Daphnia pulex: one gene and its partner. The protein of the gene in region 2 binds, or shares a complex with, the protein of the main gene of each other region. Links are inferred from orthologs where the notes say so. Each region holds a gene or a part of one and is shown on either strand. Other genes may lie near its edges.

The links. Proteins that work in one complex are often made in the same cells at the same time.
Region 1: vacuolar protein sorting-associated protein 54-like (region 2) and vacuolar protein sorting-associated protein 51 homolog share a complex: the UniProt entries of both Homo sapiens proteins name them as parts of the golgi-associated retrograde protein (GARP) complex. The link is inferred for Daphnia pulex from reciprocal best matches to the Homo sapiens genes VPS54 and VPS51.

Annotation. Positions count from the first base shown.
Region 1 is NC_060021.1:636,278-640,031, forward strand, and holds the start of vacuolar protein sorting-associated protein 51 homolog, read right to left. Parts: upstream 2,870-3,754; 5' UTR 2,673-2,869; intron 1,980-2,672; 5' UTR 1,917-1,979; coding exon 1,749-1,916; intron 1,676-1,748; coding exon 1,439-1,675; intron 1,375-1,438; coding exon 1,255-1,374; intron 1,192-1,254; coding exon 1,051-1,191; intron 950-1,050; coding exon 678-949; intron 606-677; coding exon 556-605; intron 489-555; coding exon 163-488; intron 99-162; coding exon 1-98. Other genes in the region: cap-specific mRNA (nucleoside-2'-O-)-methyltransferase 1-like, read left to right, coding at 3,318-3,351, 3,506-3,754. UniProt on the Homo sapiens protein: Acts as a component of the GARP complex that is involved in retrograde transport from early and late endosomes to the trans-Golgi network (TGN).
Region 2 is NC_060017.1:2,978,510-2,982,263, forward strand, and holds the start of vacuolar protein sorting-associated protein 54-like, read right to left. Parts: upstream 2,331-3,754; 5' UTR 2,225-2,330; exon of another isoform or gene 2,159-2,224; 5' UTR 2,050-2,158; coding exon 1,925-2,049; intron 1,851-1,924; coding exon 1,687-1,850; intron 1,628-1,686; coding exon 1,280-1,627; intron 1,210-1,279; coding exon 862-1,209; intron 800-861; coding exon 410-799; intron 349-409; coding exon 104-348; intron 46-103; coding exon 1-45. Other genes in the region: protein bicaudal C-like, read right to left, coding at 2,661-2,722, 2,825-2,944, 3,028-3,129, 3,215-3,328, 3,414-3,527, 3,593-3,754. UniProt on the Homo sapiens protein: Acts as a component of the GARP complex that is involved in retrograde transport from early and late endosomes to the trans-Golgi network (TGN).

The sequences.
Region 1 (3,754 bases), on a different chromosome or scaffold from region 2:
AACGACTGTACTAATACTTCTTCCCGTACGTAACGTCGACCAAATGTCTGACGGAATTGAGAATCTTGAGAAAAAGTAACGTGATTTCCTACAAAGGCCTAAATAAAAAATAAATGTTGAATTTTAACGGGTATAAAATGACACAGAACCTTACGATAATACCGTTAGAGCAACAAAAGCACGATGAATGTGTTCCACGAGAGCCCCTTCAATAAATTTGACCGAACCGTGTGGCTGATTATCGTTATTCCAGGAATCACGCCAGCCTTGTAGTTCACTTGTCCATTTGATAACAAGAGCGTCGGCTGTTCGATGTGAAATTATTCGAGCAATTTCAGTAATGAGAGTGAAGCTCCATTGCTTATCCACCAGTAATAGTCGCTGAACGGCCAATAGACGACGATGAAATTTATCCAAAGCCGCAACTACTGACAAACAGCAGGCTTCACTTATCTCGAATCCGATGATTTCGACAATTTTACTTTCCACTACAGGGACGAAAAGGAAATTTTATGACATGAGCTAATTTCTAGGGTGAAATATATAGCTCCTTACCTATTGGGCAAAGTTGATTAATAACATCCGTGGCCATGCTATTCATCCCCCTGTTAATTCAACGTATTATGATGAAAACGCAAAAAATTTAAACCATAAAATCAATAAAAAGTAAAACATACTCATTATGTTTCGATATGGTTGAAGGGAAAATGTTGTTGAAGGTTGCAATGGTAAGAGCAACGTTATTCAATGCTGTATTGCAGCATTTTTCAATGAATATGAGGACCACTTCTCCATTATTTTCACCAGACCACACATATGAGGATAGATCTTCCAAATCTTTTTCTAACCTCACTTTATTGATTTCAAGAAATTCTCTTGCAAGGTCAGTGGAAGATTCACCTAGTTTGCATAAAAGAGATGCAGATTCTTCTAGTTCCTGGGAAGTTACCTATGAATTCCATGAACATGTCATGTAAAATTCCACAATAGACATTTTGGTTAGTTTCTTATTATCTTACTTTCCAACATAATATTTTTTTTACAGCTTACCTCAGCTCTGCTGAATTGCACCTTTAGGCATTTCCTGAGTGTTTCAACAATTTCTTTGCAATCTGATTGGATTCCACTAAAAGAAGGATGATCTCCAAAATCTTGAAGAACTTGCTCAGATTTTGCATAATACTTAACAGCCTAAACAAGAAACATTATAGTTTAATACAGGAAATATAGACAGATAATGTCAATGAAACAAACCAATGAATAATTCTTTTCTTCTACACATGTTTTCAGCTTGTTGGGAAGATCAAACAAAAATTGCAAATTTTTTAGCAGTTCGTGAATGTTTGAAAGCTTTGTTATTTGTTGGCGCCGATCCTAAAAAGACAGGGTCATTATTATTAAAAATTTAATCAACTCTAAACTCAAATATTTCACCAACCTGTAAATTTGAAGATATATTGTTGGCAAATGTTGCAATATGAGACATGTCTTGAACTAACTTCTCCATTTCATCTTCCATAGTTTTGAAATCACTTTTCATTTGGCGGATGGTATCAGTGGCAAGGATAAATTTATTATAATTTTCATAAACCAAAGTTTGCATTTCTGAATCAAGTGATTGAATTTCACGAACAAGTTCCTGTTCTTTATCTATAAGTTGCTTTAAGCTGGTTTCCTATTGAAAAACATCCAAGCACATAAAAGTTTTATTTTATTATTTGGCAAAATAAGAAATAGAATATGATTACCTGAACCAGTTTGTCAACATAGGCATCAGCATTAAAGTGCTTTCCATCCACGTCAAAAAGGTTTTCTACATCCTTTTCTTCTGTTATCCCATAGTATTGAGAAAGAAGATTGTTTCTTTTTCTTTTATCGTTTTCATTTAGTTCTTTACTCATTTTGACGTTTTTCATTGGCACTGTTCACCAACTGATTAGTGATTACACATACCGCACATACATTTCTTTAGTTGTAACCACAGACTAAGAGGGTAAAGACCACGAACGGCTATAAACCCCTTGAAGCGATGCTCGTCCTATGCCGTATGGTGGCGCGTCGAGCACACAAAACGAAAGCCATTATTTTTCCTCTTTCCCTACTGATTAGAGTCTTCACACACCGTAAGTTTATAATTGAACCATTAACATATCAATAGTGATGTTTTGTGTAAATATAGCTTAGATATCTCCCATGTTGTGGGAATTTTTTTAAATTTCTATGTGATGTCTAGATACAATCCATAAATTCCTTTATTAAACCCCCTTTTTGCCCATTTTCAGGCCCAGGAAACAGCGTTTCAAGATTTTCTGAAATGGGCCTGAAAATCGTGAAACGCTGTTTCCTGGGCCTGAAAATGGGCAAAAAGGGGGTTTAATAAAGGAATTTATAGATTGTATCTAGACATCACATAGAAATTTAAAAAAATTCCCACAACATGGGAGATATCTAAGCTATATTTACACAAAACATCACTATTGATATGTTAATGGTTTAATTATAAACTTACGGTGTGTGAAGACTCTAATCAGTAGGGAAAGAGGAAAAATAATGGCTTTCGTTTTGTGTGCTCGACGCGCCACCATACGGCATAGGACGAGCATCGCTTCAAGCATCCCTCTTTAGCCCTATCCCTGATCGTAGTCTTTACCCTCTTAGTCTGTGGTTGTAACTGCAAATCGAATGGTTGGGGATTGGATAGCGTTAATGTAAGTTTTTGACGTTTCGCGAGCTGATGTCAGAATGTCTTAACGCTTCAAGTCTCAAACCGCCAACCCAAGGCATAAAAATAACAGGTAAGAAATTATGACAGGCCGGCTTGCTTTAGGTTTTGGATATGCAGTCTGCAGAGAGCTGCTGGCTGATTAGCTCATTACATTACACAATAATACCACCACACTAACAGCTGACCCCACCTTATCTGCTGCCCTCTATGTACTGATACTAAACTCAAAATATTTTCATATCAGCCAATAAAAATGAAAGACCCAGACTGTAGCAGACATCGCTACAGATATCAGATTATGCTAGCGTGAGCAAGAACGAGCGGTGTTTACTTTCTTCCGTTCGGTCATTCGATCGTTTTATTAAATCATTCGTCAGACATTTTTTTTTGTGTATTTTCAAGATGCTTGCATTTTGACTTCTATAGCCACATGTCAATGCGTACGTTTAATTCTGGTGAGTCATATATAAATCATGGAAATCAACTTTTGGAAGCTTTTGGCTTTTGAATTAACTTAAAAATTTGGAAACGTTATATTATTAGGAACGACGTCAGTCATCAAATAGTCTACACAACTACAAAACGCTAAACAATGGCTTCGCAAGGAAAAATAACATCACTGAGTGGTTAGTATGAGACGCTGTTTAAATTTTTTTATAGAAAAAAGTTGGTTTATCTTCAGCAATAATTAACCTAGCTTGAATAAATTGGTGGAACCCGTTTTGCAACTAATGGGTTATATATATATAATATAAGTAATTTCCTGCAAAATTTCTACAGATTCCAGTTCAGATGATGATAGTTACAGACCTCCTTTGAAAAAACCAAACACACAGTATTATAATAATACAGGAGAAGTTAACTCAAGAAAGAAACTAAATGACATTGAAACATGTGAACGTAGCACTGTCATTGTTAGCCCATCCAAAAGTAATGCTGATGGAGGATATGGGTTTAATGCACCATCCAGTAGTCAAGATTCTGATTCTAGTGATGATGATCAGCCTATCATGCCTTCTGTACATAAAA
Region 2 (3,754 bases):
TAATGACTGCTGTAGTCTCTGTCTATCATCTTCAGTTACCACAACCTGCAATATCAAAAATGATTCAGTCATTTGTTTAAATGATGTCCGAAAAGAAAAATACCTCTTCTTGACGGCTTGTTTCCGTGGCAAGTACAAGGGCCATGATGTCATGAATGGCACGAATGCGGTTGAGCAGAGCTTTCAAACTTGTCATACATCGCTGCATCAAATTGGTCCATGACACAAAGTTTAAATGCTTGAGCTGCTCGTAGAGCATAGAACCTCTTTCAACGTCGGTGTCGTTGGCTGCAAGAGCTTCTACAATAGTTTGTTTCATCAAGGCTTTCATGGCGGTCAATCCTTCATCTAAAATGGAAAAATGATTATCAGTCACATCGGCACTAGCAAAAAGTGCATCAAGCAGTACCTTTAAATAATTCAATGAAGTTATAACGCCTCTGTCGTAACATGCCGTAGAGAACAGCAGTCAATCTATCTTCTTCTGTAACTAATACATCTTCTTTGAGGGGTCGATTAAGTTCGGCGGTAGTGAGGCGTTCAAACTCGTTTGAAAGCAAATTTTCGATAAGATTCTCCATTTCTTTCAACTGCGAGCTCAGATAACGGAAACAGTGAATGCTCATCAGTTCTTGTTGTACGACCTCTTGTGTGGTCCCAATAAGATCCAACGCGCCGACGAAATCAGAAGTAGAGAGGAGAAGCTGTATAGTCGGCTGGGTTTGATGCACAGTCGCCATTAGTTTTAGTTTACGATAAACAATTGCATAATTCTGTCGAGCAACTTGCCGTTGTAATACTGAGAGGAATTAAAGAAAAATGGAATAAATTCAATAATTAGATTAATGATATTGAACACACCTTTCAACGACCCCTGAACATGCGTAGCATCAACATGATTGACTTTGAGTCTTAAGGCTTTAACCGCCGTCAGCGCTTTGCCTAATTCCTCCCGTACGGCATCATGCGAAGCAACAGCCTGGAAGAAGTCTTCCGATTTATGGGAAATTTGATGAGCTATTTGCATCTCTATCAAGTCCAAATAATAGCTCAGTTTTTCTTGGAGTGTTTTCCCCGTTCCCAAAACGTGCGATAATCCTGACTCTTTGATGAAGGGGAAAACTTTGTGAAAGGTATCTGGTTGGCTTAGGTTAAATGTAGGCTGCAAGAAAGTTTGTGGAATAACACTCAAGTCACCCTCATTTCCATCTGTTCAAAACAAAAAGTTTGGTTAAAATATTTCTTCAAATAAAAGGATTTACTGAATTAATTGGATTACCAATGGGTTTCAGTGTTGATCTTGTTGTAATTTGTTCAGTTGCTAATGTTACACTGGACTTTTTCGAAGACTTTTTGTATCTTTTGGAAATTTTCTTAAGGTATGGTGTGAAATAAGCTTCATCAACAATGGGTAGTAGGAGACTTTCAGGAATAGTAGTGTTTTCTACAAATCCATCCCCCCATGTTCTAGTAAAGAAATCCTTCTGTTTCCCTTTTTTTGGATCATTTAAAATTGCTGCCATGTTTTGGCAAGCTGCATTGACATTCCAAGCTGGCCCATCTGACAGCAAGCTTAATCTATAGAGATGCCCTTGAAGCGGAGAAGGTGTCATCCCACACAAAATGCCTGTGTAGCACATAACAGTTTATTAAATTGTTATCACATTTATAATGCAGAAAATGTACCTGCATCTTTTCCATCCTGTGTTTTAGCATGGTGTTTCATTACATGGTCTTCGTAGTCTCTATCGCTCACCCCTTCAACTGGTAATGATGTACATACTCCATTATAGCCATACCGACAAACAAATGAGCCACCTTCCTGACTACAATGATCATCTCTCAAGTGTCTAAGATTTATTACAAAACAAGGTTAGAAATAAAAGTACTTAATTATAACTTGCTGAAATGAATTGTATTGTACCTTGTAAATTCTGCTGATGTTTTGAATATTTTGTTAAGACAATAACTACAACTTCTCCATGTTGGTGAATTACTCCCACTCGATAATAAGCTTATAGAGTCGGTGTTTGTTTTTGAAACGGCCATAACAGATTGAGTGCTGAAGAAAGTACACGGAAGTGAAACTTGATCAATCGATTTACTTCAATCAAAACGTAAACCACCGGCATTTGTGAACCATAATTAATTTAATCTCCTTGAAGAATTCAACAGAAATTTCTCTTAAGAAATAAGGGAAACCTATTTAACAATAAAAAATAACCTTTTTGATCGTTTAATATTTTTCTGTCGTCAGCATTTGCCAACAGGCCAAGGTTGATGCTAACCGACATCCAAACCTTCGCTGTCTATTCGAGTGTTTCCGGGCACCGAGTCCACCATTAGCAATAAAATCAATCAGAATAGTGTGAAACTTTTATGAAAATGTTTCGTGTTTATTATATATGATAATCGTCTGGATATACAAGAGGTTGCAGCATGAAAATTCAATGAAAAACGTTAACTTGACTCATGATAGAATCAAGGGCGGAAAAGCATTTTTTCCTCCGAATTACAGTCAAACAAATTAATAAAAAAAAGGGCTTGCACAACGGCGCATAAAACGTGAGAGAATAGTTATAAAAAACTATTGCAGTCCGAAAGGAATCAGGATACAGATGTTCTGTGTCAAAACTAGTAAAACCGTCGCATGGTGAAATTTACAACTGACAAAATTGCGAGTTTTCTTCAACGGCACAGCTAATTGGCAAGTTCTTCAGTTCTTAAAAGAAAAAGAAACATTAAAAAAGCGAACAAGATTTTAAAGAATAATAATTTAAAAAAAAACCCGAAGAGATGATCTTTTTAAATTCAACCAAGTCACCTGATATTGCATGCAGCATCAATTTTCGTGGGCGGTATGCGGTTACTCCGATGCTTTTCAGATCATCATCAGACAGTGTAGTGAACATGGCCAGATCCACCTCATTTGCAAGAAATAGTTCTAATTTTAAAGCAATTTAATAGGACATATGATATTTGAGATTTTAAAATTTTTCGATTGTTCATCATAATATTCCAACTAACCACAATATTCGAATAGATCTGATTCTTTCAGCATCTGGCATAGTTGGCGATATGAGTTTTTGTCAAATTTTAAAGTGCAGGCCGGCATCTTCACACTTTCGTCTGTGAAGTAAACAACACACGTGAAAACCAAATGAGATAAAAAAAAATTTCAAATTATTAAGAAATAGTCTCGAAGATGACCCACTAGATGGTAGCAAAGGTTTTGAGTGTGCTCTTTGACCGCCCGATTGGTAAACCTCTTCAGTGGTTTCACGGAAGCGAGGTTGTTGTATAACAGTTCGACTCCCAACTGCTGGAACTTCAAAGGATCAAGTCGAAGGATAGAATTTTTCCACCTCATTATTAGTTAGACCCTAAAATACTTAAAAATGTAAACTCCTTACGAAAAGTACGTTCGGGTTCTTGAACTCTGGGTAAGCTGAGCGGGAATCCGATGGGGGATAGTCCGTTGGGATTGGGAAGACGTAGGATTTGTCTCCGGAATTCATAAATGTTGCCTGTAGACCAACAGTCACAAACTAAATGATGGGAGACTGGGCTAACGGTTGTGTAGCATACATACCTGCATTCTTTTCGTAACTGATGATCTGAAGCAGAAAGCTGCTCGGTTTGGTGCTCGGTTCCATCTTGACCGCCACGTCCAAACGTTTAGCCAACTTTCGCTCGTTGACACCAAAGGTCAAATGAATAGCATGGACATGAAACATCAGCTTCATAGGAAGAA